4 separate regions of the Mus musculus genome follow, and all the other regions are reported to be linked to region 4. The links are microRNA targets in miRTarBase. Many come from high-throughput screens and were not tested one by one. Region 4 holds a microRNA gene; each other region holds the end of a gene's coding sequence.
What was found. The annotated mature microRNA mmu-miR-425-5p reads AAUGACACGAUCACUCCCGUUGA and lies in region 4 at 6,160-6,182, opposite strand. An mRNA with a match to its seed (bases 2 to 7 or 8) in the 3' UTR can be bound and repressed. Matches are read on the target gene's strand: a 7mer-m8 pairs with bases 2 to 8, a 7mer-A1 pairs with bases 2 to 7 and ends in A, and an 8mer does both.

Region 1: miRTarBase lists Lsm6 as a target of mmu-miR-425-5p. The part of its 3' UTR that is shown has no 7-base or 8-base seed match.
Region 2: the mRNA of Tef is a reported target of mmu-miR-425-5p. Seed matches in the 3' UTR shown: 7mer-m8 at 4,682-4,688.
Region 3: the mRNA of 4930402H24Rik is a reported target of mmu-miR-425-5p. The part of its 3' UTR that is shown has no 7-base or 8-base seed match.

What each region holds. Positions count from the first base shown.
Region 1 is chr8:78,802,948-78,810,881 of GRCm38, forward strand. Lsm6 (LSM6 homolog, U6 small nuclear RNA and mRNA degradation associated) reads right to left here. Exons shown (of 5, transcript NM_001191004.1): 4 at 7,000-7,113; 5 at 1,921-5,298. The coding sequence ends at 5,264. Among named protein-coding and RNA genes, the nearest start is that of Lsm6, 14 kb to the right of the region's middle.
Region 2 is chr15:81,821,368-81,829,301 of GRCm38, forward strand. It overlaps Tef (thyrotroph embryonic factor), which reads left to right. Exons shown (of 4, transcript NM_017376.3): 3 at 1-52; 4 at 2,099-5,496. The coding sequence ends at 2,314. Among named protein-coding and RNA genes, the nearest start is that of Tef, 14 kb to the left of the region's middle.
Region 3 is chr2:130,705,017-130,712,950 of GRCm38, reverse strand. 4930402H24Rik (RIKEN cDNA 4930402H24 gene) reads left to right here. Exons shown (of 37, transcript NM_029432.2): 34 at 489-691; 35 at 2,074-2,139; 36 at 2,920-3,013; 37 at 3,633-6,751. The coding sequence ends at 3,751. Among named protein-coding and RNA genes, the nearest start is that of Slc4a11, 11 kb to the right of the region's middle.
Region 4 is chr9:108,567,037-108,574,970 of GRCm38, reverse strand. It overlaps Mir425 (microRNA 425), which reads right to left and starts at 6,194; the gene lies at 6,110-6,194. It overlaps Dalrd3 (DALR anticodon binding domain containing 3), which reads right to left and starts at 5,079. Exons shown (of 12, transcript NM_026378.3): 1 at 4,896-5,079; 2 at 4,526-4,821; 3 at 4,157-4,407; 4 at 4,000-4,079; 5 at 3,798-3,926; 6 at 3,452-3,525; 7 at 3,297-3,358; 8 at 3,107-3,189; 9 at 2,854-3,030; 10 at 2,674-2,784; 11 at 2,510-2,578; 12 at 2,200-2,420. The coding sequence starts at 5,060. The coding sequence ends at 2,301. Mir191 (microRNA 191) reads right to left here and starts at 6,652; the gene lies at 6,579-6,652. It overlaps Ndufaf3 (NADH:ubiquinone oxidoreductase complex assembly factor 3), which reads left to right and starts at 7,535. Exons shown (of 5, transcript NM_023247.2): 1 at 7,535-7,934. It also overlaps Wdr6.

The sequences.
Region 1 (7,934 bases), not on the chromosome of region 4:
CTCGAGGTAAAGGGGTTTTGGATGCACTAAAAAGCACGCCACATAACCCTAATGCCTAGACTGTTCTGATGTTGCACAACCCATAGCTTTGAAACATTTAACAAGACGTGCTGTGATGCAGACTAAAAGCTCCATTGTCATCCACCTACAGTGTGGGTAGAAGATATATTGGCTTTGCTGTTATCACTTTCAATATTTCCACTGAAATCTAGAAATATATTAGCTGGGAATTCTACAAGTCAACCTGGCATGAAACAATCTACCCAGACAGACCCAGCTTCTGAAGTCATGATAGAGTCGCCACTATTTGTCTTTGGTCTGATTAACTGAATAAGACATTAGGGACACGGGTCTTGTGAACTCAGTCTTAAAAAATTCCCTTTTCAATGCAATAAAAAAATCTCACTGCACTCTGCTTCTATACACTTCACAGAGGGCTGTTAAGGACATCGATAATGCAAAGGCTAGTTAACGCATGGCTGACTTTGTGATAAATGGGTTGGACTACAGTAACCATAGATGCGGTCAAACACTACCCTGTCTGTGTAAGTATTTTCTAAATGAGATTAATACTTTAGTAAAAAGATTGAACTAAGTAGTGTACCACCTTATCTTCACCTCGCCGCTGGGCCTCATCCGACCAGCTGAAGGTTTTAATAATAAGACTGACCTTAGAGGAAGGGGTTTAACAGACGGGCTACCTCCAGGTCAAACTGCAGCTCTTCTGCAGCAGGGCTACCCTGCCAGTGCAGGAGTGTCGTCAGTTCCTTCACATGCCTCTCTTTGCATACACATCACCCTCTGTCTCTATGGAGAAGCATGATTGACACAAAGTTTAACCAATCTCTGCCAGGATTTTTGGTTTTCTATGTCCATGAAAGGATTTTATTTTACTGGAAAAAACTTAAATCATGGCCATGCAACTTGCTTGGCTAATATGAATCAGAAGTGAGTGGCATCAAGTCGAAGCAAAAACACAAAAGCTAGGGAAGGAGTCTTTTCTTCTTCTTTCTTCTTCCTTCTTCTTCCCTCCTCCTCCTCCTCCTCCTCCTCTTCCTCCTTCTTCTTCTATTTTTTTGGTTTTTCGAGACAGGGTTTCTCTGTGTAGCCCTGGTTGTCATGGAACTCACTCTGTAGACCAGACTTGAACTCTGAAATCCGCCTGCCTCTGCCTCCCAAGTGCTGGGATTAAAGGTGTGCACCACCACTGCCCGGCTACGGAATAATTCTTAATACTCTCCCGCGTGTCCACAGTAGAGCTTTACCTATAGGCTCCTGTAACATCAGAGTTACTGGTTTTAAACCTTTAGGATTTGGAGACTGCCTCTAAGACACCACTCAGGAGGGGGACTGTTCTGTCTGGCCATTTACTCAGTAGTACACAACAAATTCTTAGCTTTTCCTTTTTGTTGTAATTCCAATAGGGCTTCGGACAGAAACACTGAATAGTGTTTGGACTAACATATGCAGTTTGTGGTAATAAACCCGCTTCTCTGAAATTATTTTACGCAGGCTTTCACAAACCGAGTCCTCCTTTAACCAGTTTGTGTGTGTATGTGACCAGGATCATTTCTACTAGAAGGCTTAGAATAAACAGAGCCCACGTGGACTTGACCAGTTTTGCAAAGTAGGCCTTGAAAACTTCTCTATTTCAATTGTTCAAATGTTGGATGATTTTATAAAGTTCTAAAATATGTTTACATTTCTGTCTGCTACAGACCTTAAACTACTACCAAGAAAATAAATCCTTCAATACTTCAGATGATAGCATTCAAACTGGTGTGTAATGGTGTGAGGGCAAAGATAGCATGAGAATTTAGCTAAGTCAGAAAATCTGGCTTTTGTTGGATAGATAAAAATGTGTAAAAACAGGAAACCAACAGACCCATGAACAATGCATAGATGGGAAAGATCAGATTTCAAGGTTTTCCAGTTCCAAGTTTATCTGAAATTTTAAGGTATGAACATAGCTGAGACATCAAATGCATTTATGAACTATTTTAAAATCCTGTCCCATCTAAAAAGACAGTGTCAGGTACTTTCTCCTATAAATAGCCAGACTTGCAAGTGACTTCCTATCGTGCACAGGGGGTAGTATCTCACTTATTCATTTAGGGTACCACATAGATCCTGTCCACAGCTGCCATTCAGTGGGCGCTGATCATCAACATCATTTCTTCCAACTCCCCTCCCTAGTTAGCTCCTCTAACTTTTCAAGAAAGTAAGTGTGGTGGCTTGAATTTTGGCCCAGAGAGTGGCACTTCTTTGGACATGTGTCGCTGAGGCGTGGGCTTTAGCTTGTCCTAGCTGCCTGGAAGCCAGTCTTCTCCTAGTGGCCTGCAGATGAAGATGTAGATCTCTCAGCTCCTCCTGCACCATGCCTGCCTGGATGCTGCCATGTTCCTGCCTTGATGATAATGAACTGAATCTCTGAACCTGTAAGCCGGCCCCAGTTAAATGTGGTCCTTATAAGAGTTGCCTTGGTCGTGGTGTCTGTTCACAGCAGTAACAACTAAGACAATAAGCAAGCATCACTTGAGGCTGTCTCTTGCCCTATTACATAAGAGGTGCATACTGTCCACCCTGTCCTTTAGGCAAGACTTTGTGGAATCACAAATGGTTGATCAATGGAAACACTCATAACTGCTTGGCCAACTACAGTAGACACGGCAGCAGCTCCTGGGATAAAACCCCCTGCTGGACATTATTCAGATCAGAGCACACCTAGCCGTGTACTCTCAGAAGCCAGCTGATTAGAACAGGTAGCTGCTGTGGAGCACAGCCGCTTGAAGGTCGTGAGGGAAAAACTGCAGTTGGCTTCTTTCACCAATAATTTGTTTTGGGGCAGGAAAAACAAATAAAACGTGACAAGCATAGATTGGCTATGAGAACTCCAAGGTTGAGATCTTCCCACAAGAGGAACAAGCCAATACACCATTTTCTCTTAAACCAAAAGTCACTGTAAAGACGGGCATGTATGCTAATCTGCACTGAGGGACAGACTGGCTCCTTGGCCTGGAATGCTGTCATCCAAGAGGCACTGTGAATATCAAAGACAGTTTTCCCACAGTGCTTGTTTCTAATGAAGCTGACTGTAGCCTCCAGGGTGATGCGGCTCACACTTAAGTCGATGCTGCTGTTTCCAACCTTGAGGAAATCCCTTAAGCATTTGTTACTATCTGTCACATCATTAGGAACTCCTCGCATGCATTACATATGGCCTCAAACATGATGCTCAAGATGTGAACCCTGTCTGCAGGCTGAGGGGGAACATGGTTCAGACCACATGGCCGCCATCTGTATTTGTACTCGTCTACAGCTCTGTTTGGGATAAACACTTTTGAAGTAAGAATTGATTCAGTCTGCAAGATTAGCCAAGGAATAGCTCACAGACCAAAACAAAATATGAAGGCAGATAGTCTGGAAAGCAAGCACAAGTTCTGTTTCCTGCTAGACATTCTGTTTTGTCACGGCCCAAGAGAAAGATGGTGGCAACTGTGGTTGGGGGCATAGGGACACGGAAAATGTATTTACTCAAGTGAAAAATTTTCACCCTACAACAATTGTCTTTGCTACCATCCAACTGAAAACCATTCACAGACCACGAGGAGACTACAGTTAAAAAAAAAGTAATTTTACCATTTACAATTTGTTTCAGAATTCTATCACAAGAAGGTATGCACAGGGGACAACATGTGCTGGTCCAGATGCATAATATGGTTATTACCATAAAAATGGTAGCATTTCCCAAAGTCCATCTTGATTAAAAGCGGTTCCATGGATGAAAACAATATTCTGCAGTAGCGCTATTAAGCTAGAAATGGCAAGAGGGAAATAAAGACCTGCAGGCTGGAGGGGAGGTCAGGGAAGAAATGAGCAGAGCCGGGATGTTACAGACTGCTGGAGATAACAGCAGGGCTGCTTTCAGGGCAGCTGAGGGGATGAATGAAGGGATGCAGTAACCTGGCGGCCTCACACACTCTAAAAAACAAATGAGAACATGTGTGCTCCACTCCGAGAGACATCCATTTTCTCCTTTAAAGAAGCCATTTATAAAAGAGCAAATTGGTGATTTGTACTTACACACTGGTGCCTTTGCAAGCCCCTGTCAGGAAGTGATGAATTACTGAAGCTTAGGATAAAGTGTTTTATTTTCAGTGTGCACACCATCAAACCTTACTCCTCTCTTTCCTGAGTTATTAATTGTTTCTGATTACTATTTAAATTAGACAAATGCCATATATACACCTCTCCAGAAAGCACACCCTCCCTCCTTAGCTGTCCATCTGCCTCCACTTCCTCCAGCCGGGCAATTGCTCTAAAACTGTCCGACCTCCCGAGACAGGGATCTGTTTAGATTGAAGGAGGGTAAGGAAAGCCCTAGCGTCCATGCAACCAAAGCACCCACACACAGTCCACAGACAGCACAAGCCCGCTCAGCGGGAGTCACGTGACCTGAAGGCCAAGAATACAACCCTTTCCCCAAGGCCACTTGCTAAAGCAAAAAGCAGGAGAAACTTTCGCAGCCGAAGCTCAGTGCCTGGAAACTGAGTCTAAGCACTCTGGGCTTGCACCACCTCAGCCACAGCCAGTTTCTCAGGAACAGTAGAGCTCCTCCCCTGGCTGGCGTAACCAGCCATTGCACCAACACTCTCAACAGGGAGCAAGTTAACATGAAGAGTCTAACTGCACAGGAGGCTTCCAGGCAGTGTCTCACCTCACGTGGCTGACCTTTCCAATTCCTGACTCTACAGTTGCACTCCTTTGTGGAGATACCACCACTAACTAGGTGACTAAATAAACAGCTGATTTTCTGACCTCTTGTCCCTTTATAGCCCAAGGCTGAAACCATATGACTTTCTATCTACCTGCTTTAAATGGTACGGATGGTGAGTAGAGAAAGAGACAAAGGATGCCTCCAGAATGCTTGATCACAGGTTCCGGGATGTACCACTTAGTCAGCTGAATACGTAATCAACCAATGGAATGACAGGGCAGGAATCTTAGGTAAAATAATCCTGGAGAAACAAACTGTTTTAGTTTTAGCATTCTGTACAGGCAGAAATGATAAAGACTGAGACATAAATGTGAAAAACTTAAGAGTCGATCTGTAATGCAATACCTCTATCTTATTCCAATGTCAATTAAACAAACAAACAAACAAACCCCCACCAGCCACCATGAAAACAGGCCAACTAAGATGGTAAGAGAACCAAAACCACTTCATCTATCCATCTCTGAAGAGCACTGCCTCCTGGTGTCTTCACATCCGCCTCTTCTGTGTACTTATGTACAGCACTGGAAAGACAAGAGAACGAGCAGTCACTCGAGGGGCACAGCATCGGTTCAGTTTTAAAGGCATTCATGGGTCCTGGCCTACACCTCGAACACTTTAAAAGACTGTTTCTACCATGCAATGAAGGTCTCTATAAAACAAGCTTTGCGTCTAGACCGGGCTTGGACATCTTACCTGATTATAACTAGTCTTATCTATGCATGTTACTGACTTTACAAATTATGACTGGGAATTAGAAAAGTGAAAGTGCCTAAAATGTAAGAATGATTTGTAAATAGCTATATCACAAGTTTTGAAAAGGGCGAATCAGCCAGATCTGTTAGGTTAGGTGTCACATTCAGAATGACTAGCACATGTGTCTGGAGAGACGACGCCCATCACTTAAGAGCAGATGTAACTTGCAGATGTTACGGAGCAACAGGGCTGGGTCCCCAATTCCTACAAAGCAGTTCACAACCAACTGTAAATCTAGTTCCAGGGAGTCCAGTGACCTTGTGTGGCCTCCTCAACTACCAGGCACGCATATGATGTACTTACAGACATGCAGACAAACACTCATACACATGAAAAAAATGTAAAAGAAAGAAATGGCATTATTTTCGTTTATCTCCCCAGTTTACTCTGTAAATTGGTTTACTCTGATAATTTCCATAGGAGGAAAAAAATGAGAAAACATTTTTAAGAAAGCAAAGTCCTTATTCTGAGATTAGTATAAACCTTTGGTGTCATCCAACATGTATTTTCGCCAGTCATTCTTAGCACAGTGGAATGTGTGCTGCACAGAGATAGGACAAAAGGGGCTCTGGTCAGGCTGTCACCTAAGGTGTACCCTCCCTCTCCCATCCCACACATCTTCAGATACGAACAAGCTTGTTCAAAGTGAACAGTAGATGTTTCCTCAAAGAGTCCAGCACAGACTTCAATCAAGTGAACTAGGATCCTCTTTAAGACCCAACTACAAGTAGTAGGAATAATGACACCTGTTACTGAGGATGGCAGTAAAGTGTAGGAGCCATCAGAATAGGAGGAAAGCCACTGCCTGGGAAACCAGACAGGCTAGGTGGATGTCAGTGTAGGAATGGCTCCTGCTATGGGGGCTACTTAAGAGCATAATATTTCCAAGCAAAAGGAGGAGGGCAAGTAAGAATAACATGAAATAGAAGAAATTCTACTGAACTGCAAGCAAGGTATGTCTACAAAAGTCAGGATATTTAATTCCTAACGAGACCTAACTTTTAAGGCTTTTAAGAAGAGAACTTGAGAGCCACGCCTTCTGTCCTACTTCTGACACACGGAAAGGTACAAAGCTCCACAAAAGGCACCTAAATCTTGAACAGAAAAAGGACAAAGGACAGGCTAAATGTCAAGGGCGTTTTGTGGCACAGGATGGCTTCCACTCCCAGACAGCACTGCGAGAGTACAGTATGTGGTTGTGTGCCGCACACCCTCTGGGTCCCTGGTCTAATGGGCCTGCTTAGTATACCAATACCCCTCAGCAACTGAGAAAGAGAATTTCTAGTTCCAACCTCCATGGAAAATCCTCTTCCCACTCACAAACAGACCTGGTTTATACTAAAGACCTAAAATATAAGTACAACAAACAAGCAAAAGTAAAGAGAACCTTAACACTTAGACGCCCCGCAGCTCCCTATTACACGCAGGAACGGCCTATTCTGAACACTCAATGGAAGGGAAGCTCTTACCATTGTTTCCTCGGATGAACGCATCTCCGTACTTATTCTTCAGCTGTCCATTTACATACTCCTCTGTCTGTTCCAGGGCTATATTCATGTAGCCATCCAGGCAGGCCAGGACCCCTGGAGAAAAGTAAGACAGAATTCAAAATTACAGGCTATATCTTAGAACTGACAATCACTTTATTCATTAGCCTTCAGACACATAATATAAAAATTCACACTGTAAACAAAACTCAATAGACTTAAACACAAAAGGCGCCTGCCTTTCCTCGGTGCCCCTGTGAATGAAGGCTGGGCGGGCAGAGCATGAGAGGAGCTGTGCATCCACCACAAGACAGGCAGCCAACTGTCACTCCCTCCTGGGACGTGTGCTCACCACAGCAACTTTGAAAGCCTTCACAAAAGTATAAGCATTAGAATATTCCAACCAAAATGCCCTTCTATGGGAGCCCGGGACAGACATGGCAACTATGCAGGGACAAATGAGCCTCCATCGAGGTGACATTTGTTACTTCAGCCACTCGCTCGCTCGGTGAAATAGGGATCTGGCAGTTTGTCTCAGTCTTTCACAACATCTACTGCAGCAGATGAATGGACCCAGGGTGAAGAGGAAGTCTCCACAATCTGTTAAGATAATAGACAGCAGGTGCTCCTGAGAGACCATCTCAGAGCTGTGGCTCTCAGCGAGGAGCAGCTTGGGAACAGAGAGCAACATATTGCATTACAACACACTGCATTCTGTTTTGTCAGAGTTGGACTATTTTTAAAATCAAAACTAATAGAGAAAAACGGCTACAAACATGCCAGGGAGCTTTCAAGGAAAACAGCTCGGGTGGATTTTTACTCGTGTTAAGATGGCATAAATTTCTAAAATCTGACCAGAAGATTTTTTTCAAAAGATGAAGCTAGTAAGCTTCTAATTCTCATCTCTAAGCAAAACT
Region 2 (7,934 bases), not on the chromosome of region 4:
CCAGCCCATGATCAAAAAAGCCAAGAAAGTCTTTGTCCCTGATGAACAGAAGGTAACACCCAGGGTTCTGGATTAAAGACACAACAGTGGTTTAAGAGTCTAGGGTAAGCTCTGCCCTCTCTGAGTAGTGCAGCTCACTGGCACAGCTCAGCTTTGCAGTGCTTGCCTGGGACACATGAGGCCCAGAGCACCATCTCTAGCTCTTCACACAGAGAAAGAAGCTGAGCGTGTGGCATACACCTTTAACCCCAGCACTCGGGAGGCAGAGGCAGGCAGATCTCTCATAAAAGCAAAAGGAGAGGGAGGGAAAGAAAACTGGAGTAGACCTTGTGCTTCCTCATATGTGATTTTATATGGAGAACCCTTCCTACGATGGACACCACATAGACAGGAGTTCTCTATTTGAAGCCACATCAGCAGTAATTTGATGGGAAGAAGTGCTCAGGTATGACTTGAGTCCTAATTACTCTGTTACTTCCCTTCTTCCCAGGGTTGCTTGGGTGTTTTAGTTCCACTTCCTTGGTATGAGAAGTCACCAGACTTAGAAAGTAAGACTCAAACCTTAGATAGAAAGTAAGGCTGGACAGACTTTATGGGGGTTTTTTTGTTTTGTTTTTTTTGGTTTGGTTTTGGTTTTTTTTGTTGTTGTTGGTTTTTTGTTTTTGTTTTTTTTTTTTGTTTTGTTTTTGTTTTTTTTTTTTTTTTTTTGAGACAGGGTTTCTCTGTGTAGCCCTGGCTGTCCTGGAACTCACTTTGTAGACCAGGCTGGCCTCGAACTCAGAAATCCGCCTGCCTCTGCCTCCCGAGTGCTGTGATTGAAGATGTGCACCACCACGCCTGGTTTAAGATTGAACAGTCTTAAAGGACAAAAGACACCTTGTAGGGCTGGGGAGATGGCTCAAAGCAGCGGTTCTCAGCCCTCTTAATGCTGCAACCCTTTAATACGGTTCCTCAGGCCTGGGTGACCTCCAACCATAAGATTTTTTTGTTGTTGTTTGTTTTGTTTTGTTTTGTTTTTTGAGACAGGGTTTCTCTGTGTAGCTCTGGCTGTCCTGGAACTCACTTTGTAGACCAGGCTGGCCTCGAACTCAGAAATCTGCCTGCCTCTGCCTCCTGAGTACTGGGTTTAAAGGCGTGCGCCACCATGCCCAGTCATAAGATTATTTTTGTTGCTACTTTACAGCTGTAATTTTGCTACTATTTTAAATCGTAATGTATCTTAGTGGTGGTGTCTGCCTTTAATCCTAGTAAGTGGGAGGCAAAGGCAGGTAGGTGGCTTTCTGTGAGTTTGAGGCCAGCATGGTCTACAGAGCTAGTTCTAGGACAGCCAAGGCTATACAAAGAAACCCTGCCTCAAAAAATCAAATAAATAAATCGTAATGCAAATACCTGTTTTTGGATGGTCTAAATACAACCTCTGTGAAAGGATTGTTTGTTCTCAAAAGGGGTCATGACCCACAGATTGAGAAATGCTGGCTCAACGTCCACCCAAGCACCATGGCGCACACACCTACTCTCTCCCTCTTTGTTCCTCCCTCTCTCTTACATGGTCTTGTAAAGTCAGGTTTGATCTCAGGGGACTAACCTACACCTAGGTTGTTGGCTTTTAACCAATACTAAGTGTGCTGTGGTGGCACACATTTTTAATCCCAGCACTGGAAGGTAGAGGTAGGTAGACTGCTGGGAGTTTAAGGCCATCCTGGTCTACAGAGTGAGTTCCAGGACAGCCAGGGGTACACAGAGAAAGTGTACCTAGGAGGGGGTAGGGGGAGAGAGAGAGCCTGACTCAAAAAAAGAGACAGAAAGAAAAAGAAGAGAAAGAGATGTTAACAACCACCAGTATGCCTAAGCAAGGGCTGAGCACACAGCTATACAGTTATACAGAGCTGTCGGTGCAGCCCTGGTCCCCACCATGCACCTGCCCCTCAAGGACAGGCAGTGTCCCACACTATTCCTTCTCTGGGGTCTGGAGTTCTTACCACAACGTTGAACTATGTGCAGAGGAGGGGCAGGGCGTGTGAGGATTTGGGGATGGGAAGGAAAGATTAAGTTCTCTTAGGGGGAATACCAGACACTCACAGAGGACACTTTCCCACAGGATGAAAAGTATTGGACAAGACGTAAGAAGAACAATGTGGCAGCTAAACGCTCCCGGGATGCCAGGCGCCTGAAGGAGAACCAGATCACCATCCGGGCAGCGTTCCTGGAGAAGGAGAACACAGCCCTGCGGACGGAGGTTGCCGAGCTTCGCAAGGAGGTGGGCAAGTGCAAGACCATCGTGTCCAAGTACGAGACCAAGTACGGGCCCTTGTAACCTGTGCCCCTGCCCCGCAGGGCACTGCCTGCACCTCAGACCTCTGCCTGGGGCTTCCTGGACCCCACTCGTGTGGAGACTTAGGACTCTTCATGGGCACATGGTGGCGTACCTGCTCTAGGAGCACTCACGTCTCAGCTTCATTATAACATGGCCAGCACATGTGATGACTTCCCCAGGGGACCAAGATCCTCTCCGATGGGGAACATGAGCGAATCTACGTAGACGGGTAAATGGCCCAAGTCTCTTTTGTTGGATGCTCCAGCTGAATCAGAAGGGGCCTTCTGGAGTCCAGGTTCTCTTGTACAGAGTGCTCAGGCTTTCCTAGCCTTCCCCTCAGTCTCCAGTTTGGACTGACAAGGGCTGTCTACAGAATGAGTCATGATTATTGTCACCCTAATGTCGTCTCAGGTAGCAGGTGCATTTCCACTTGGGGTGTGTCTGTCATGTACCTCACCCTCCCCAAAATCTTTGAGAGAAACATTCATTCCCATCTGTCTCAGAGCCAGGACATGCTAATCCTGTTAGTATAGACAGGGTGGTGGACCACACAAGTGGGGTCTCTGGATAGCCTGGAATTAGGGTGGGGCTGGGGCTTGTGGTAGAAATGCACCCAACCATTCTTAGCTCCAACTTTTGTCTTGTGACTCTCAGGCCTGAAGTGGCCCTGGAATCAGTTTCCTCTGCATCCCACTTGCTATGGAAGAGAAATTTCCAGGAAGTCTGGTCTCTGGGGTCTAATTGCCAGCGCCTTTGTATCTCTGGGCCATTCTGAAGGCTCATGACTTCCACTAGCTTGGTCTCTGATTATTTTCACCCAGTATCCCTTCTCAGTTCTTAGGTTTAAGAAGAAAACCTATCACCTAGGAAGCTTGAGCTTCCAGGCCCCAGGGTACCACTTCTGCATGGTGTTTAGGAAACTGGCTTCCACAGTCTCCTGTTGTGGGCACCAGACCGAGGGGTTTTCTCTTGGGAAGCTCCATGGAACCCTTGCTCTGGCTCACCAATATACCCAGGCCAGAATCTAGTGTCCCTGAAGGCAGAAGAGGGCCTGCCACGTCACAGATTAGAATCCCTCCCCATGGGTATCAGCAGGCCGCCGTATATGAGTTGTATTTGCTGAAGTTACTTACAGTGCAGCTCTCATGGGACAGCAGGCTCTGGAGACATTTACACTGGCCTGCAGTCCCTGTGGAGTCGGAGGGTGCCCACACAGCTCTCCCCGTGGGGCAGAGTGATTTCTTGCAGTTTTGGCTCCCTCACAGCTGCACTTTTCTCTTCTATTTGGCTGGATTGGACATCATGGAACCCTCTACTCATGTGGGTCATGAGGGCACCCTCCAGGAGGGTGTGTTTGTTTGCTCAGGGCGGGCAGCCTGTGTGAAGGAGACAGAGGTGATGAGGGTGCTTCATTATACTTAACACTGGCTTTATTTTAAATGGTGGCTTAGTTTGGGGCCCCTATCTTTTAAGACTTTTCATAATGATGTTAAGACCAGGGCAGACTGTCTACTGGCCATGGACTGCAGCCAGGAGATGCCCTGCCCCTCCTGGGACCTGCACACCACCTCTCTGGGGAACTTGACAAAGGTCCCTAAGGCTAAGGGAGGTCTCCCTCCTACTAGGTCCCTGACTTTGACTCTGTGGTTCTCTAGGAACCGTGTGCACACTTGTCTCTGTTGTAACTACAAAGGGCAGTAGCATCCAGCATGTCAGTGTCTGCCCGGGCTGCCTGCCTCCTACCCACCCAGCACTATTCTCTGGGCTGGCTGTTCACCCAGAGGCAGTTCTCATTTTGTTTCTGGTGGACAAGCCTTGAGCTGAAAATCTCTTCGTTTTCTTTGACTAGAAAATGTAAGGTTTCTGTTTTTTAAGTTTTAGTTTTAAGGAATGGATACTTATCTCTGGATGCCATCTGTGTTCTGACCCTAGTGGGTGGGTGGGCCTTACCGTCTCCCCTTAGTCCCCGTTCTGCCTTGTGGTGCCCTCCTTTCCTTCCAGAAGTAGGGAGTGGGTTCTGGCTCCTCCTAAGTGCTTACAGAGTCACTGTCTGCTTGTTTCTTGGAGAAGCCTCTGGAATGAAAAGCGGCAGGGAAACAAACCGGAAGGAGCACGCCTAGAGGTTGACATCTTGGAGAACAAAGTGTTCACATAAGCTTGGCTCCTCTGTTGGCTTTAGGACCCAAGGCTGCACAGAAAGAGTTGAGCTCTGCTCTTTATCTTGCTGTGGAAGTCTCCTGACTCCCTCTAGGAGCTGACAGCTGAAGCCTGAAGCTCTTGCACTTGGATCCTTGAATTCTAAGGAGTAACCAGGCTCCAGAAGCCAACTTCTATTTGGCTTTCCGTGGGTTTGTCTTAGGATGAGAAGTGTCATCACTTCCTAAACATCCTGTTCTCAGCTATGGCAGCCTCAGAAAAGACACCTGAATGAGTTAGAACCCTGCAGGAATGTACATTCAAGAGATGTCTTGATAAAGAACTACGTGCTTTTGGAAAGAGCCACCCTTTGGAGGACCTGTTAGTCACCTTTATCTTCAGCCCAAAGGCTAAGTTATGTGGGTCTGACTCCTTTGGTTAGGGACAGCACTAGACAGTGACCCTAACCCTTGGTCCATACTCCCTGCTGTGATGGTGCTGTGGTCTGCTTTCCACTCAGGCAGCTCCTACAGTCCTCCAGCCTGGGGACAGATGGGAAGCTTTCCAGGGGCCCCCCGAGAGGTGTGCTCCCTGTAAGAGGGGCCTGTAAGAGGAGCTCTTGGTTTCCAGGGCAAAGCCCTACCCACAGCTTCTTTAACATCTGTTAATTAAGTGCAATAAAATTTTCTAGAAAAAGGCAAAGATGATTTCCAGGTAGAGATTGCTGTCTTTTGGTGTTGGATGCCAGAACACCACTTGGTTTTATTTTTCTAAGTGCATGTGATTGGTAGAGTGTGTGGGCTCTGCATCCTCCCTGGGAGCTGCATTCCAGCAGCCCCTCTCCCTACCTTTGCCGTGGGAAAGAGGCCAGGAGAAAAGCCCTTTGTCCCAGCTGCAGAGGTGGAAGCAGACAGCAGCCCTTTGGCCTTACATGTGTGTGTGTGCCTGTGCGAGTGTGTCCCTGCTGGTGGGCCGGAGTGATGTGTTATGGAGGGAAGTTGGGAATGTATCCTTTTCAAACAAAATTAAATATTTTGAGACGAGAACTTGGCAGTGGTCTTTTCTGTTATTCCCTCCTTTATTTTCTGTCTATATATGCCTGCATGAGAACCTAGCCAGAGAACCTCCTCTCTTCGGAATCCCAGGCAACACCTCTGTACACACCAGCTAGATGCCCGAGTCTCCTAACTCCTGGCCTACAGAATGAGTTCTAGAACAGCCAAAAAAATCTGATCTGCAAATTAAACACTGAGAAACTCACAATCCTCCTGTGTACTGGGAATAACAGGTGTTGCTTTTTTTTTTTTTTCTGAGACAGGGTTTTTTCCATGTAGCTCTGGTTGTCCTGGAACTCACTCTGTAGACCAGGCTGGCCTTGAACTCAGAAATCCTCCTGCCTCTGCCTCCCAAGTGCTGGGATTAAAGGCGTGCGCCACCACTGCCCTGTAAGGTGTTGCATTTTTTAATCAATACATAACTTTTAACTATATATACATGTCTGTATGTGGATATATGCTTAAGTGCAGAGGCCTGTGGAGACCTGAAGAGGCATTGGATCCTTTGTAACTGCAGTTACAGGTGATTGTGAACTGGCTGAGCTGAGTGGTGGAAACAGAGCTCAGGCCTTCTGCAAGAGCACTAAGAACTCTTTGTTTGTTTGTTTGTTTTTCAAGTCAGAGTTTCTTTGTGTAGCCCTGGCTGTCCTGGAACTTGCTTTGTAAACCAAGATGATGGCCTGGAACTTGGAGATCCATTTGCCTCCCAATTCTCTTTATACTTTATAGCTCAGGCTCTTAACCACTGGTCCACCTCTTTGACCACATTCAGCCAGAAGCCTTTCTTTAAAATGGTGATCCAGGCAGCAGCAGGCCCTGGGGCACTCTATAAACCTCTGCTTGCCTTCCACTGGTTGTGTGTACTCCAGGCTGACTTTTAGGGGTCCTGGCTGGTGAGGGGAAAGATCTTTAGACCTTGGTCTGCTGCTTCCAGCTGTGCTGCCTCTCAGCACGTGAAGTACCTCACTGTTCTGTTACACTACCTCAGAACACTCTAGAATGGACATCCTTGTTTAAAGAGGAAGAAATACTGAGCATTGCATGGTGATGCACATCTTTAGTCTCAGTGCTTGGGAAGCAGAGACAGGGCAATCTCTTAAATTTGAGGCCAGCCTGGTCTAAGTCTACATAGTGAACTCCGGGACAGCCCAGCCAAGACTATGTAGAGACCCTGTCTCAAAAAAAAAAAAAAAAAAAAAAAAAAAAAAAGACGGAGGAGGAAGAGGAGAAGGGAAGGAAGGAGAAGAAGAGAAAAAGAAATCAGGATCGAGCAGGCCGTGGTGGTGCAGGCCTTTAATCCCAGCACTCGGGAGGCAGAGGCAGGCGGATTTCTGAGTTCCAGGACAGCCTGGTCTACAGAGTGAGTTCCAGGACAGCCAGGGCTATACAGAGAAACCCTGTCTCGAAAAAACCAAAAAAAAAAAAAAAAAAAAAAAAAAGAGAGAGAGAGAGAGATCAGGATCGATCAATCACACACACACACACACACACACACACCCATGCTGAAAAGAACATTACAGAAGTAGGTGAGGCTCAGAACAACTTAAGGTATCACCCACCCACTCTCAGAGCAGAGATGCAAACTTGGGATGAACAGCAGCCCAGGTCCTGTGCCTTCATAATCTCAGGTCTCGTTGACTTCTGAACCCTCACAGCTTTCACCATTACCTCCTTACCCAGGGTGCCAGGGTGCCTGGCCCTGCCTTGCTGACAGCAGACTCCACCCTCCAACTCCCTTTGGCTACCAGAAGTCAGTCAAAGTAGCCAAAACCAGATCTGGTGTCTCCCCATGGACTGCTGAGCCTCCCTGCCTCCCTGGCAGAAGTGGCGAGAAGACTGATGCCCACACAAGAGGAGGCTGCTGCCTGACCCTGTCTCACACTTGCATGAATGGCTCCCCAACCCTGGGTTCATATCCTGATGATCGAGACCGATTGCCAACTTAACCGGATCTACAATCACCCAGGAGGCAAAGCTCCTGGCACACCTGTGTGCAGGCACCTAGACTAAGTTGGCACCAGGGCATACATGTGAGGATAATCTAGATTAGATTAATTGAAGTGGAAGACTCAGCTGAGGGCAGCACCTTCTCAGGGGTTAGGTTCTTGGTCTAAAAATAAACAGGTAAAAAATGAAGGGCCGACAATATGACTCAGCAGTTAAAAGTGCTTTGAGCTAAACCTGATAGCCTGAGTTCCATTCCCCTGGAACCCGCATGGTGGAAGACCAGAGTGACTCCTGAAAGTTGTCCTCTGACCTCACACCCACACTTACCCTTCCCCTAATAAATAAGTATAAAAGAATAAGATCTGGTCTTTGTTTGCTTGGTTTTGTTTTGAGACAGGGCTCTGGCTGTCCTGGAACTATGTAGATCAGGCTGGCCTTAACTCCTGGCCTTCTGAGTGCTGGGATTAAAGGCATAGGGCCAC
Region 3 (7,934 bases), not on the chromosome of region 4:
TAAATGGGGTGAGTCCTGGTAGTGTGGACACTCACAGCTCATGGTGTCTTTTGTCTTCTGGCATTGCTCGGCCCCAGCCCTGTCTTCCCACAGTGGAGAATCTGCCCTCTGCTCTTGAGTTACTTCACTCGCATCTCCAGCTCCCATATTCTGAAGAACTGCACCCCCTCCCTTGAGCCACCCATGGCCTCTTTCTAGCCCTCCTTCCAGCCCTGAAGAGAGGCTGCCACTTCCCTGAGTGTCACTGTCAATGCAGATGCCATAGGGAATGGTCCAGCTTCTCCTCTTGCCTACCTGGCCTTTTCTTCCTCTTATGTCCCTCTGTCTAGGTAACAGTGTGTCTGACCACCCATATCAACCAAGTCAAAAACTTGTACCCCATCCTTTCCATTGTGCCAGTTCTTAGGAATCTGTCAACCTGTCAGCATTGTTCCTGTGGAACATTCTTTTGGTATTTGGTCTCAAGGACAAATATGTTCTCTGTGCAGATTCTGAAAAGACCATGGAGGTTTGCCACAATACTTTAACCAACTCCCTGACCATTGTGCCAGTTTTGGAGGGACCCACACCACCTCCCAACTCAAGAAGCAGCCCCCAAGACAACGGGCAGCCAGAATGCTACCTTGTGTTCATTGGCTGCTCCCTGAAGGAGGACAGCCTCAAAGACTGGCTTCGACAGTCAGCTAAGCAGGTGACTTACAAAATATACACTGCTGAGCCTGAGTATGACCAGCACACCCTTCGGAGTCTCTCACCCTTCCCTCTGACACCCCCCTGCCCCAGTCTATGCCCCAAGACTCAGCCAACACTCTTAGGGACAGTTGGGATTAGAAGAAGCCTTTGGGGGCAAACTCCAGGCAGACATGGCAGTACTGTATTGGGGGGGGCTTTTGTTTTGTTTTGTTTTTCTGAACAAGGTCTCTCTGCCTTGGCTCTTGTGGAACTCACTCTGTAGACCAGGCTGGCCTCAAACTCAGAGATCCACAGCTGCCTTTGCCTCCCTAGTACTAGGTGCAAAGGCATGCACCACCTCACCCAGCTTGGGTTTTTTGTTGTTTGTTTTGTTTTGTTTCTAAGATCGAGTTTTTCTGTGCAGTCCTGGCTGTCCTGGAACTTGTTCTGTAGACTAGGCTGGTCTCAAACTCAGAGCTCCTCCTGACACAAGTGTGCTGAGATTAAAGGTGATAGTGTAGTTTTCATTGTTTTATGTGTACAGGTACTTTGCCTGCATGTATGTCTGTACCACATGAATGTCTGGTGGAGGCCACAAGAGGTCAGATCTCCTGGAACTAGAAATAACAGATAATTTTTGCACTGGAAATCAAATCCAGGTCCTCTGGAAGAGAAGCCAGTGTTCTTAACTGCTGAACTCTCTCTCCGGCCCCAGTACTGTGTATTGTTTTACGCTCAGGTTCTCTAGAAGCTGTGGGTGCTCAGCCTCCTGACACAGGGAACGTCGGTGCTTTGGCTTATCCTGGAACTCCAGGAGTAGGGTTGCTGGGTCCTGGATCTTTTATACACCGGTGATCGTCTTCTAGGAGCTGTGAGCTGTCTCCTGTGGATCACTTCCTCTGCCTTTGCTTCTGTTTTAGGAGGCTGGGTGTTAGAGCTGTGGTGGTCAGGCTGAACCTCACTATATAGACTAGACTGCCTTCAATTTTTTAGTCCTCTTGTTTCAACCTTCCAAGTACAGGGATTACAGGGATGTGTCACCACTCCCTGTTTTGGAGGTCTTAAATGTTATAGACTGTGGAACTTCAGGCTACTTTTGCGTATTATCTGTCATTGTTGTGAGTTTTGCATAAGAATCTGCCAAGAAGCAGGATTGTGCCTATTTGTAAAGCACTGGGCTTGGCTACCATTTGGTCCTGGCTATATTGCAGAACTCTGGTGGGAAAATCCTTTCCTCAGGAACAGAAAAGCCAAATAGCATGTCCATGAGAGCCAGTTCCTGCACTCTTCCCTCCGCTGGGATCTCTGAGATGTAACTGGCCCCAGTCTCTTTGGAGCCTTCAGCTACCCTTGTGCTCCATTAGTTCTGTTCAAATGTCTGTTTTCTCTATGTCTGCATAGAGGCCTCAGAGGAAAGCTCTGAAAACCAGGGGCATGCTGACCCAGCAAGAGATCAAGAACATCCATGTGAGTGTCCTGCCCTAGCGTCCCCTCCATGGCTTGTGCTAGACTTGTTCTGCTGTCTTGGGTTCCCAGAGTAAGGGCCTATTTGTAGGATGTCCTGGCAGTCTTTCTTCTCTCAGGAGACAAGGGGGGAGGGGGGAGTGGTCAAGGAGCCTAACCTTGTAGCTTCAGGAAGTGGAGTGGCCACAGCTGCTGAGACCTGTGGATGAAGTGGAAAAGATCTGGTACCTGTCAGTAGTGGTACAAGATCTCTGCTTAAGATGAACTGCACAGAAGTCATCTGAGGCCCAGAAGAAAGCTGTATAGATAGAGCTGTTCATGGGAAGGCTATGGGATACTAAGCCAAATGAGGTTTTCTGGGTGAACCTTTCTAATGGCAGACTGACTTCTAAGCTCCTTTCCCAAGCTCATGCCCTTGGAGGCCTTTTATCAAGGTCTTGGGACAAAAGACCAAAAGCCACAGCCAGAGCCCCATCATGGGCTGTCACTAGTCCCAACGTCTGTGCAGTATACATGGTGCCTGAAGAGGCCAGAAAAGGTTTAGATCCCTGAAACTGAGTTACAGGTCATGGATGTGCTTGGAATTAACCCTGGGTCTTCTGAAAGAGCAGATGGTACTCTTAACTACTGAGCTACCTATGCAGTTAGCTGGCCTTTACCTGCAGGGGGCTGGGATTAAAGGTGTGGGCCACCATAACCAGCACTATTTATTTGCTTTGAATGAATGAATAAATGAAATGATAAAAAGTTGTCAGATAATGCAACAGGATTCTTTTCCAACAGGTGAAACGCCACTTGGACCCCTTACCTGCAGGCTATTTTTACAATGGCACCCAGTTTGTTAACTTCTTTGGGGACAAGACTGATTTTCACCCACGTATCCTTGGAAACCGTTGGGTTGTAGTATGAAGATCTGGGAGATACAAAGATCTCCTGCAAAATGGGGGTTGGGGGTCGCTAGGACCACCACAGCTATGCCCTAGGAGCAGGCAGGGTCTGCAGTCCTGGAGGCCTGGCAGGGATAAACCCCACAGGCACGCATTCCATGTTGGTGTTAAATCTGCCCTTTACTGAGCAGCTGTAATGTTTACTCTATGAAGTGTGGCTTGTAGGCAGCATTGATAACAACAGGGTTATGACAAACAAATTGAAGATGGCCTGTTAGAGCAGTCCATGTGTGAAGAGATGGACAGGATGCAATGCGGGCCTCCGAGCTTCAGTGTGCTGATAAAACCCAAAGGCTTGGGTGGGGGACTTGGCAATACCTGCTACCATCATTGTGGCTATGATGCTTTGTGGCAGATACTTTGGTTTTGGTTTCCTATGCCAGACCTGCCCACAAGATCCCCAGGATAAGCTGCCCTTCTTTCTTTCTTTCTTTTATTTCTTTCTTTCTTTCTTTCTTTCTTTTTTTTTTTTTTTTTTTTGTGGTTTTTCGAGAAAGCTGCCCTTCTCGTCCTCCAGGTTTACACCTCACTTCCTTAACCAGGTGCCAGTCATGGACCAGTTCATGAATGATTATGTGGAAGAGGCCAATCGGGAGATCGAGAGGTACAACCGGGAGCTGGAGCAGCAGGAATACCGGGACCTCTTTGAGCAGAAGCCGAAGCCCTAGAGAAAGCTGGGCTTGTGCCTACCAGAGATGAATGAATGAATGGGTGTCCAGCTTTCCTGGAGGCCCCTCCTGAAGGGGCTGTCTCTGTCCTCCCTGGCCTGTGCCTGACAGTGTAGTACATGTTGTCTTTATTCTCTCTTCTCTCTGCACCATGAAAGGCATTGTGTGGACCACTGAGTGAGGGCGGGCACAGGATGAGCAGCTAGCTAGCACTGCCCTGTGAACCAGCAGCTCTGGGTGTCTGGTAAAAGATTCCATTGGACCGATGGACACCATGTAAGGCCGAGGAGAAGCCTTTGGTGTAGCTGCTGGTATTTAGAAGGACCCTGGTTCCCTAAGCAGTGGCCAGGCAGAGATCCACAATGCCTTCTAGATGAGAGCACTTCTGTGGGATGAATGGAAGTGAGATACGATGCTTTCTAGAAATGCAAGGCTCCGTCACTAATTGCAGCACCTTGGGAGGTTTGGTCCTTGAGTTCCTCTCTGTGGCATCACTTGGTTCTCTAATTTAGGGAGAAGAGCAGGCATGCTGCTCGAGCCCTGGAGTGCCTCCCCTCCCTGTTGAGGTGGATATCCTATAACTAGCTTGGACCCAGGGTCTAACCGTTTGGGGACTGTTGGTCTCTAGCACTCAGCCTCCCCACCTCCTGCTAATACATTTCAGAAAACCTCCCAAAACTGCCCCTGGCCCTGAATTTGTTTACTTGGTTCCCAAAGACCAGGAATTTGAAAAATTCTGATATCCAAATTGGAATTCCCTCCAGTAGTTTTGATTTAGGTTGGACCGAACAGCAAAGGTAAACTAACTTGCATTCCCAAGACTGACCTTGCTAATTAGTGTGAGGAATAAGGTCATTAAAGGTGACGTCTGCTAGGATTTGAGTGCCTCTGCTGCTGGACTGTAAATGTTTTCTGAGTTTCATGTACCTTTTGCATGCCTTAGAAGAAGCACATAGTAAAACCAGCATAGTGTTCTGTAATGTAGAAGGGTTTTTGAGAAAGGGCCCTGGCACAGAGGAGAGGTAAGATGGAGCATATGGGTCTGTGTGCCTGGTAACATGGCACTCTTTGGACAAATAGCAAAGTAGTAATCAAGGACTTGTCAATAAAATATACTTGTGTTAGGGGGAAAAAAATGGAAGCTGAATGAACTAAATTACAAGTCCCATTGGGTCAGAAATCTTGCATTAAGAAAAGCTTGTGAAGCCGGGTGTGGTGGCGCACGCCTTTAATCCCAGCACTTGGGAGGCAGAGGCAGGCGGATTTCTGAGTTCGAGGCCAGCCTGGTCTAGAATGAGTTCCAGGACAGCCAGGACTACACAGAGAAACCCTGTCTCGAAAAACCAAAAAAAAAAAAAAAAAAAAAAAAGAAGAAAGAAGGAAAAGCTTGTGAAACTCAGGCCCATATGCTTCAGTCCCAGCTCCAAACTACAAGGCCCTCATGTTGAGCTCTAGTCTGGGAGTCCCTGACTTCGGGCTGGGGGTCAACAGCATAGATCTTAAGTGCAATTGATTAATAAGCAATGAGTTATTATAGCTCCCTTTATCTTCACCAAGCTCTTTTTAAAAACTAAACTTTGAGCTAGCAGCCTTAGCAAAGGGAACAGGGGACCACAAGCTATGTTACTTTCTTTGGGGGGTGGGGGAGAACCACAGGCCAGTTCATTTCCTGCAGAGTTACTGTGAAGTTTTCAGTGGAAGCTCTGGATTAAGAGCTCGGCTGCTTTGGCCTGGCAGTCTGGCTGCTGCACAAAAAGAGTTTTTAAAGAGGGGTTGGGGCTGTGCTACGTGGTGAGCTTGGTTTCTGACCCTTGTCCATAGCCATGTGCTTTCACCAACCTGCCCCACTGCCCCCATTCCTCTCGTTCGTTAGAGGGAAAACCGATTACCTCAACTTGAATATGAAACTGTGGTTGAAGAAAAAGCAGAACGAACGTTCAGCAGTTTCTAAGCCAAGAGGGCAAGCTAGCCGAAGCCTCCATAGGTGCTCCCTAGCCTGCTCAGGAACTGGGGGGCAGCGACCACACACTGAGTTCTGAGGACTAGGAGAGGGATCTGCTTGCTCCTCTGCCGATCCCAACGACATGCAGGTCCCTTGACTTTGATGTGGGGTTTAACACCCACTTGATTCCTCTAGTCCAAGAGTGTGGTCTCAGGCTATCTCCAGCGGGGGAAGCCATGATAGTCTTAGCCTCTGATCTTAGAAGTGGGTATCATGGACCCAGCAAGGATTTTAGGGATCAGCTCCCAGGACAGACAGAAGCCCTCCCGGCTTTCTCCCAGCTTTCCTGTCAGCAGCTTCAGTTCTTACCACAGAGTGAGTGTGATAGTGGTGCGGTCACTGAAGTTATGGGCAGTTTTGTTTTCCTGCGGGATTTCCCTTTGTTGACTGGAGGGAGACTAGAAAGCAAACATTGCAAGCAAGTTAGGCCCAGCAAGGCCTCAGGCTCTTTGACCTGAGGCCCAGACACCAGCCCTTCAGGCTGTGATCAATAAAAACGTCCCTCCTAAATCCTGTTAGGATTTTGGAGAATTTTTGCACAGTAAAAAGCTCTGGCTTCTCAAAAGGGAAAAGTTCAATTCAAAGACTGTAAACTTAAGTATTCCAGCCATGCTGCTGACTAGTTGGATAGCTGTACCTCAAAAAATAGGTGGGGGTGGCTTTCCCACTATCCCACACCGTCACATACTAATGAAGAGCTCACTTACGTGCCAAAATTCACTTTTATACTAGTTTTTCAATGCTTTAATATTTGTAACTTAAATTTTAAAATTCATATTTACAAACACTACTATAACTTCAGTGAAACTGAATTGTGTGATTGAAACTTTTTGCTTATTATAGTATTTATTACACTACTTAATTCAGTAAATATATAAAAGTAGCCTTCAATTTATTTTTATATTATTTTACATGTTTTTATCTGCAGTTGTGTCTGTGAATTTCACTTGGAATTAAGATGTAATGCTAAGGACCAATAAACTGTCACTCAACAAGTACCTCTGTCTCTGCCTGTCTCCCAGTATCCCTGGTGTGGCTTTGGAGGGTGGAACCCTGGGCACTGGAGACTTTCTCAGTCTGGCTTTGATGTTCCTGGCTAGGACTGCTGAGGGAGAAGCCCTGGAGGCCCTCAGCACACCTTCAGAGGGTAAAATCACATCACAGTCACCTGCCCTGGCTTATACACTTCAGGAGCCCCAGGAGCTGGAGACACAAAACTGACTGTCCTAAAGAAAAGCTACACACACACACACACACACACCGCACACAGACTCCTCTCTTCCAAGGCTCAGGGTGAGCTCACACCCCCATTCCCTCCACCTGTTTTTTTTTTTTTCTTTTTGTTTGTTTGGTTGGTTGGTGGTTGTTGTTCTAATAGGATGATGTCCTGTAGTCCAGGCTGGCCTTAAATTTATATGTAACTGGGGCTGGAGAGATTTCGGCTCAGCGGTTAAACACACTGACTGTTCTTCCAGAAGTCCTGAGTTAATTCCTAGCAACTGGATGTAAGGGTGATCTGGCTGCGACATCTCTCACCCCATTGATTGCCAGTGTTGATTAGGCTGATCTGGCTGGCTAGGTGGGTGTCCCTTCCTCCCTCACTGCTCTATGTGTGTCCCTCCCGAAGCAGCTTCCAGTGCACTAGGTCTAAGAGGACAAACTTCCCAGAATAGAGGAGAACCAGTTTCCAGTTGAGTATAACGAGTAGCTGTGCTCTCCTGCTAGAACCATCAATCCCCAGCCACCTTGTGGTGCCTCACAGCCATCTGTAATGGGATCTGACGCCCTCTTCTGGGGTGTCTGAAGACAGCTGCAGTGTGTACTCATATACATAAAATAAATAAATAAATCTTTTTTTTTTTTTTTAATTCTGCTATGTAACAGAAACTGGCCAAGAACTCCTGATCTGTTCTCCCAAGTAGAAGGTTAGTAGGTACGAGCCACCATCCTTACTCCCCTACTCTGACGGCCTGGTAAGGCTCCCGTTGGCACAATGCCTTCATGGGTTGGTCAACTCTTTACAAGCCCTGTGGGTTTGCCACCTCAGTGTAACTTTATAAATGTGGGCAACTAAGTCACCAGCAGGTAGAGTAATTGGCACAGAACGAGGGACACTGGCAGGCCTAGTTAAATCCAGAAGTGAGTCTAAGTGGGGCCTCCAAAGTTGGCCCAAGTATTTAC
Region 4 (7,934 bases):
TGTGACCTCAGTTACCTGCCATGGTGGCTACCTATACAGCACAGGGCGGGATAGCTCCTACTTCCAGCTCTTTGTACATGGCGGCCACCTCCAGCCGGTCCTAAGGCAGAAAGCCTGTCGAGGCATGAACTGGGTAGCTGGGCTTCGGATGGTGCCTGATGGAAGTATGGTCATCTTGGGTTTCCATGCCAACGAGTTTGTAGTGTGGAGCCCCCGGTCCCATGAGAAGCTGCATATCGTCAACTGTGGGGGAGGGCACCGCTCCTGGGCCTTTTCTGATACTGAGGCAGCCATGGCCTTTACCTACCTGAAGGATGGTGAGGTCATGCTCTATCGGGCTCTAGGTGGCTGCATCCGGCCCAATGTGATTCTCCGGGAGGGTCTGCATGGCCGTGAAATCACATGTGTAAAGCGTGTGGGCACAGTGACCCTGGGCCCTGAATTTGAGGTACCCAACTTGGAGCATCCTGACTCCCTGGAGCCTGGCAGTGAGGGGCCTGGTCTGATTGACATAGTGATAACAGGCAGTGAGGACACTACTGTCTGTGTCCTAGCACTTCCCACCACCACAGGCTCAGCCCACGCCCTCACTTCTGTCTGTAACCATATCTCCTCTGTGCGAGCCCTGGCAGTGTGGGCTGTTGGCACCCCAGGTGGCCCACAGGATACTCGACCAGGGCTCACTGCTCAGGTAGTGTCTGCAGGGGGCCGAGCGGAGATTCACTGCTTCAGCGTCATGGTCACTCCGGACGCTAGCACCCCCAGCCGCCTTGCCTGTCATGTCATGCACCTTTCATCCCACCGGCTGGATGAGTACTGGGACCGGCAGCGGAACAAGCACAAGATGATCAAGGTGGACCCTGAGACCAGGTAAGGCGGCCTCCCTGTCATGGGCGGGGCGTGAGAGGGTTATAGGAAAGTCCTGACTCCTGACTGCAGGCCCCACCTGACCGGTGTGTACCCCCTACAGGTACATGTCTCTTGCTATTTGTGAGCTTGACAACGATAGGCCTGGCCTCGGCCCTGGCCCCCTTGTGGCTGCAGCCTGTAGTGATGGAGCAGTGAGGTGAGCTCATAGGGCAGAGGAGGGGGAGGGGAGGGGGAGGGTGTGAGCTCTCCAGGACGGTTCCCAGACCACCACCCCTCCTCCTCGCCCCCAGGCTCTTTCTCCTGCAGGACTCTGGGCGAATTCTGCATCTCCTAGCTGAGTCTTTCCACCACAAGCGGTGTGTCCTCAAAGTCCACTCCTTCACACATGAGGCACCTAACCAGCGTCGGTGAGAGGCAGCCCTCTGTGGGTTGGGTAAGGGCTCCTGTTTTTCCATCCCTTTTACTGATCTGGCTGTCCTCTCCTGGCTTCCAGGAGGCTGATCCTGTGCAGTGCAGCTACAGATGGCAGCCTAGCCTTCTGGGATCTCACCACGGCAATGGACAAAGGCTCTACTACCCTGGAGCTTCCAGCACACCCTGGGCTTCCCTACCGTGAGTACCGTGACACCCCTCATTACCTCTCTCACAAGATAAAAGCGGGAGCTAACAGCCACTCTCTTCCTCCAGAGATGGGCACCCCCTCCATGACCGTGCAAGCCCATAGCTGTGGCGTCAATAGCCTGCACACTTTGCCTACACCTGAGGGCCACCACCTTGTGGCCAGTGGCAGTGAGGATGGGTCCCTGCATGTCTTCACACTTGCTGTGAAGATGCCAGAGCCGGAAGAAGCTGATGGGGAGGCTGAGCTGGTGCCCCAGTTATGTGTCCTAGAGGAATATTCCGTCCCCTGCGCACATGCTGCCCATGTGACAGGCGTCAAGATCCTAAGTCCCAAGCTCATGGTCTCAGCCTCCATAGACCAGCGGCTGACCTTCTGGCGTCTGGGACAGGGTGAGCCCACCTTCATGAATAGCACTGTGTACCATGTGCCAGATGTGGCCGACATGGACTGCTGGCCTGTGAGCCCTGAGTTTGGCCACCGCTGTGCTCTGGCAGGTCAGGGACTTGAGGTTTACAACTGGTATGACTGAGTTATCCCAGTGGGTGGAGAACTGAGCACAGGGCCTGACTGCAGACAGTAGAGCAGGGATCAGCTGTCTGTGTCACGCTCAGTGTGCTCTGGGGAGGCGAGGCAGTACCATAGTTCTCGCAAGTATTCCAGTAGGGTGTTGCATAGGAGGACCAAGAACACGCCTCACTCTCACAATAGGATGAAACTGTATTTATTCTGACTTTAAGTGCCCAACATCTGTGAGGTCTTGTTTCTTTCCCAGTTGATGCTTTTATAAACATTCCCAGTTATTGGGCCCTTAGATGTGGCTCAGCGGAGGGAGGCCCAGCATAGCCAAGCCTGTGTGGAACACCTCACGCACTGCCCTCAAAAGCTGTAGGCGAGCAAACATCTGACCAAAGAGGTGTGGCCGAGGTTCCTGAAAGAAAAGCAGCCAGGCGCATCCTCATTTCCCGTGTGCTCAGCCTTGCCCACATTTCCCGCAGACCCCCCTTGCTGTATGCTCACCCCTAGAATATGTACTCGGTTATAGTAGGAGCTGAAATCCATGCTGAGCTGCACCAGGAACTTGCATACCTAGAGACAGACGTTGAGTCGTTGAGCTGTTGTCTTTTTTCTTGTGTTACAACCCAGAATAAAGAATAATGTGTGAAATGTCTTCTGTGCCTTACCATCTCCGTGCGGACAGGGATGTGGAGGCCTGGGGTGCCGGCCAGACTCACAGTCTGGCTCAGCAGGTCCAGAAAGGGAAGGACACTGTTGAAAAGCAGCAGCCACTCACCCTGCGGGAGACAAGCGTGCTAGGAAGACAAGTCCAAGCCTTGTGGACGTTTATCAGGACCAACACTCACCTCATCATGGAGTAGTGAGAAGTCCAGACTGCTCACAAGCGGAAAAGTGGGATACAGACCTTGCTCCGTTCCATGTTTGTAGCCCTCGAAGAGTGTGGCAAGGCGGGCACAGTTATACATGACAAAAGTCCCGCTCTTTGTGCCCTTTGTTGAGATGGTGCTGTGGGCCAGGAGGAGCTGGGGAATGGTAACATAGCTGCAGAGGGCCTTGGCTCTGTACCTGCATCCTCCGTCCTGGTGTCGGGAGGCTTACCTGGCTCTGTGGGGCTGTGCTTAGCATCTCAAATTTGATGGTAGCCACGGAGAGGATGTCGAAGGTCTCAGTCCAGGCGGGGTCTGGGGTGCGAGAGAGGCTGGTCAGTGTCTGAAGACGAAGCACACAGGCCAGAGGTGTGCGTGACCTGCTTCCACCTCAGCGCACACGCAGGATCTCCCAGGTGTACCTTGTGCCAGGTCTCCTCCGTGCTTCAGAGCTGAGGCCTCGCACACCTGAGCATGTCTGAGCCTAGAAAAGCGAGCCAGTAAGCAAGGTCTCAGTGAAAGCTGTCCCTACCTTTACGCTGTTGGTGGCTGTGGATGGCATCCCTTTCATACTCACCTGTAGTACTGAGGGGCAGTCAGCTGGGTGCCGGGTACACCAGCCATTTTCACGGGACCACACACCAGGTGTTTCTGTGAAAGACTGGAAGGGCTCAGCCCAGTTGGCACTACCCTCCCCGCTTCAGGGAACTATATCAGTTGCTTTTCTACCTTGGTTTTCCCAATCTGTAACCACCAGCCTTCCTTCGTACCTCCTCAAGACACCATCATCCTTTTTCTTAAGACTACATAGTCACAGGACATTTGCACTTGTAGCACGGGTGCCTATGGTCACATCAGTCTCTAAACCCCATGGTATTCCAGGCCTGAGGTCGGAGGTGGTTTGGTTAACTTTGGTAACCAACCTGCTTGTGAGGAGCCCGGTCATCCAATTTCTGCCAGAGCAAATCCAGCTTTTGTTGCTGGAATGCCTCTTCACAGCTAACCACGTGTATAACCACGCAGTCATCTACACCAGCATCTGGACGCCCAGCCTGAGGAGAGATGGGGCAGTTACTACAAAGATACAAAAATCCAGTTTGGGCAGAGGTCAAGGCAGCCACTCACCGGGCCTGGGTGGCCGCCCTCTGGCCAGTGGCGCACAGCCTCCTGCAGCTCCGAGAGCACAGAGAGCACATCTTCAGTCACTACAGAAAACAAGAGGTGTTGAAGTGCCTGGCAGTGCAGAGACACAACCCCACCCATGTTCTGCCGTTTGTCCTACCCAAACAGTGGTCTATGCTGGGGTCATAGCCAGCAGTGCCTCTCTGTTCTACCAGTTCCTTCAGACACAGTCGGCCTAGGACGCCAGGGGGCAGCGTCGCTTCCTTAGAACCATTAAGGTTTGCAAGAACACAGGTTCTCAGTGTTTCGGTCGAGGTGCTCTTCGAGGCAGTGGGCCATTCCACCCGAAGTTTCTGGAGGAAAGTTGACATGTGAGGGTCCCGCACCGGGGGCACTGAGCACACACGTACCCTGCAAAGCAAGGGAGGCTGTCTCAGCCTGCGGACCAGGCTTAGATTATCATGACTCCCACCTTTTCTATCCCCAAATGTTCGGTCTTTTGCCATTATAGCTTCGAACACGCACTTACCCATGAGCACGCAGTACCCGTACTAGATGATCGGCTACGAGCACGGCACGCAGCTGGCTCAATCGGAGCGTCCCCGAATTACAGCGCAGTGCTGGGCAGTGTAGGACAACTCGCGGGCCTGGTGAGGCAGGTTTGGCGGGAGTAGCATAGGAGGCCAGGGCACCGAGTACATGTTCGAAGACAGCGGGCCGCTGTAGTTGGAGCGATAAACCCGCGGGTGTCGGCGCGCAGCGCAGTACAGGGGCCACTCCGGGACCCTGCAGGCAGGAGACCGCACGGAACACGCACTCTGGCACCTGCAGGCAGATGTGTGTAAGTGGGCCGTAGTTCCGTGGATCCCGCTAGGCATGCCCCACAGGAGCGCACCCACCTGGCCGTCCCTGAAGCGCGCCTGTAGCGCGCTTCGCGGTGCCAAGAAGTCTCGAACACGAAGGTGCCGGGCATGGGTTTCCTTAAACCACACTGGGCTACCAGGCCCTACAGCTGCATTAAGGGCCTCCAGCGTCTCGCCAACCCCAAGGCGCCCGGTCGCCATGGCGACCGGAAGACTAAATGGAACAGGAAGTAAGTTATCCGTAGAGCTTCCGGGAGGTCCGCCTGGCGGGGGCGGGGATCCGGCCGTGGACTCTCCTGAATGGACCAGAGCGATCGAGCATGCCAAGTGAGCTTACATTCTACCCACGCCTCCAGCTCTCCCTCCCGATGGCCTTTCCTGTATTCATGAGCCCTAACCTCCAAATTTGAGGGTCCATTTTTCCTCCTTTTTAAAAAAATCGTCACCCCGAATTATTACTTTGATAACGGATCTTTGTTACCAGGCAAGACACTTTGCCACCAAAGTTTCACATCTTTGTGTTTATGTCTCTTTTTTCTTTTTCTGCCCCATTTAAACAAATTAAAGGCCAGACGCACGAGACGAAATGTCAAAGGAATAAGGCTGTACCATTAATGACACTTTGTTTTTCAAGACAGGGTTTCACTGTGTAGCCATGGCTGTCCTGGAACTCTTTGTAGACCAGAAAGTCCTTGAACTCAGAAATCCACCTGCCTCTGCCTCCTGAGTACTGGGATTAAAGGTGTGTGCCACCACTCGTGTCTTCCATTAAAGACTCTTTACCGCCTACTTGGAAAAGTAACGAAACAAAGCAAAATTTGAGTTCTGATTATTGGTACGCCTTTCCTCGGCTGCGGTATGGAATGTCTTTATTCCCAGTAAAAGCCCAATCGGATAGAATTGCCCATCTTGATACCCGAGGAATTAGTCATCATGATTCCAGGATTACCAGCCTTTAATGTTTTTCCTTTAAACTGGTGTTACCGGCACCTTTGGTTCTTTAGGCAACTGGTCAGTTTAAGACAAATGTGATGATGAGAAGACCCAAATAAGCAGAGCTCTCAGGTAGAGCAAGCTGCAGGTGAGCTTTTCTATGTCCAAACTCTTTCGTTTCCAAGTAACGTGAAACTCCACTTCCCCCAGTAATGAATGAATCCAACCGGTGAACTTTGCTCCGGAGAGGAGTGACATCTAGAGATAGGAAAAGTTCGGGAAGGCCGGGGCTATGAGGCCCTGTTTGGGAGGTGCCGAAAGAGCACTGGGCGGACACGACATTCCCGATGGCTTCTTGGGTGCCCACTCAACGGGAGTGATCGTGTCATTCCAAAGCACTTTCCATGCTGTGGTGTGGGTTCAGCTGCTAGCAGGGCTGGGACCCACCAGCAAGTTGGTGATTTTAGCTACTCTCCCTCCATGAAGACGGTTGGGGTGGGTTTTCCCCAGGAAGTGAAGATCTATCTTTAGCGAGCTGCGGGCTGGGCGGCCTTGTGGGACTCACCGCCATTGCGGCCCTTCAGAGAGAGGACCCAGGACCTCCCTGGTCAGAGTTCTCCAGGGATTCCAGACAGGGCCATCAGCCCGAGCTTTTTTCGTCGCCTCTGACTGCCACCATCAGTCTGGGGGTGCACCTGAGAGATGGAGATCAGAATGGCCCAGTAGTGTAGTGTTTCTGAGAATAGAGACCACATTATCTGGGCCAGGGCGCTGCTCAGGCAGGAGAGCAGGGAACGAAATCCAAGTGCAGCTGGAATGCTCTGGAGACAACAGCTGCTTTTGGGATTCCGTTGCCCGCTGTCCAGCCATTGGAGGAGGGCTCTTGCTCCCAGGTCACTCGCCCTGAGGCCAAACCGGAACCCGCCCATCCCTTCCCAGTGGGCTGAGTAGGAAGGAGTAGGTGTTTTAAACCAGTCTAGTGAGAATGAGACGCTCACCTGGGCCCCAGAACAATAGAAGGTGGGGGCATCCCCCGGGACGAGGTCCTGATCCGGATTAGATCAGAAGGGCTGGATTAGCCCTGTGAGTCCCAAGCAGGAGCCACTTGTACCGGGCAGGCTTCGGAATCCGTCAAGAGGGAAGCGATTCCGTGAGACCCGAGAGGAAGTAAACCCATGTGTCCACTTCTGGGACTCCCCAAAGCTTAGGACCTTTTGTCTGGTGACGGTGCCAGCTCATGAAGTGCCAGGGGCCAAACTGGCCCACATAGCAGCGGCAGGACAGCCTCCCCCCAAGCCCATTGCAACCGGCCCTGCAAAGAACCCCACAGCCAAGCCCCATTTGTGTCAAGCATCCCACCCGTCTAGTCCAGCGGATAGAGAACGCGACAAAGTTCCTCTGAGGCCAGGACAGAACCGGTGCGCAGAGATGCCCATGCCGCGGGACGCCAAGGACTCATGCGCCAGTAGGCCCTAGACTCAGCTCAAGACAGGGGGAGGGAGACTCTCGGTACGCGCGCGCAGAGCGCGCAAGGGCGGGGTGGTGCTCCAGGCGCGGTCTACTTCACGTCTGGTCCGGTTTGGCCCAGTCAGTCCCACTCGAACAGCTACTCCAGCACTGCCACGGCGTGCCCTTCCGCTGGCTCTAGCTGTCCCCAGACTTGGAGCCATTTTAAGGAGAAACCATCTGGCCACACCCCCTCGCGCTGCCGGGAAGCCAATCCATGCTCGGCCACGCCTCTCATGGAGCGCTGCGCCGTCGCCAACGGTCGCGCTGGTGACGGTTGGGGAAAGCAGCGATTTCGAGACTAGCTAGGGAAATTTTAGCCATCTGCCCCGCCCCCGGAGCCCGATTCTCCAAAGCCTGGGATTAAGGGCCTGGAGGCTGGCACCACACCCTGGCCAGGTGTTCATAACAGGACCAGGTGCGCAGCTGCCCCGCCCTGGTCCCTGGGAGCCCGAATAATGGCTGAGAATCCCAGGAACAGGCCGCGGCAGTGGCCTAAACAATACCCTTAGGGCGCCCGTACTAGCAGGTGTTTTTCCCCCTCCTCCTTAGGGACTGTCGCTGGAGGCATGGGGCGGGGTGGGCGACAGGTGCTGACACACCCGCATGGGGAGACAGAGGCTCTGCATTGGCCTA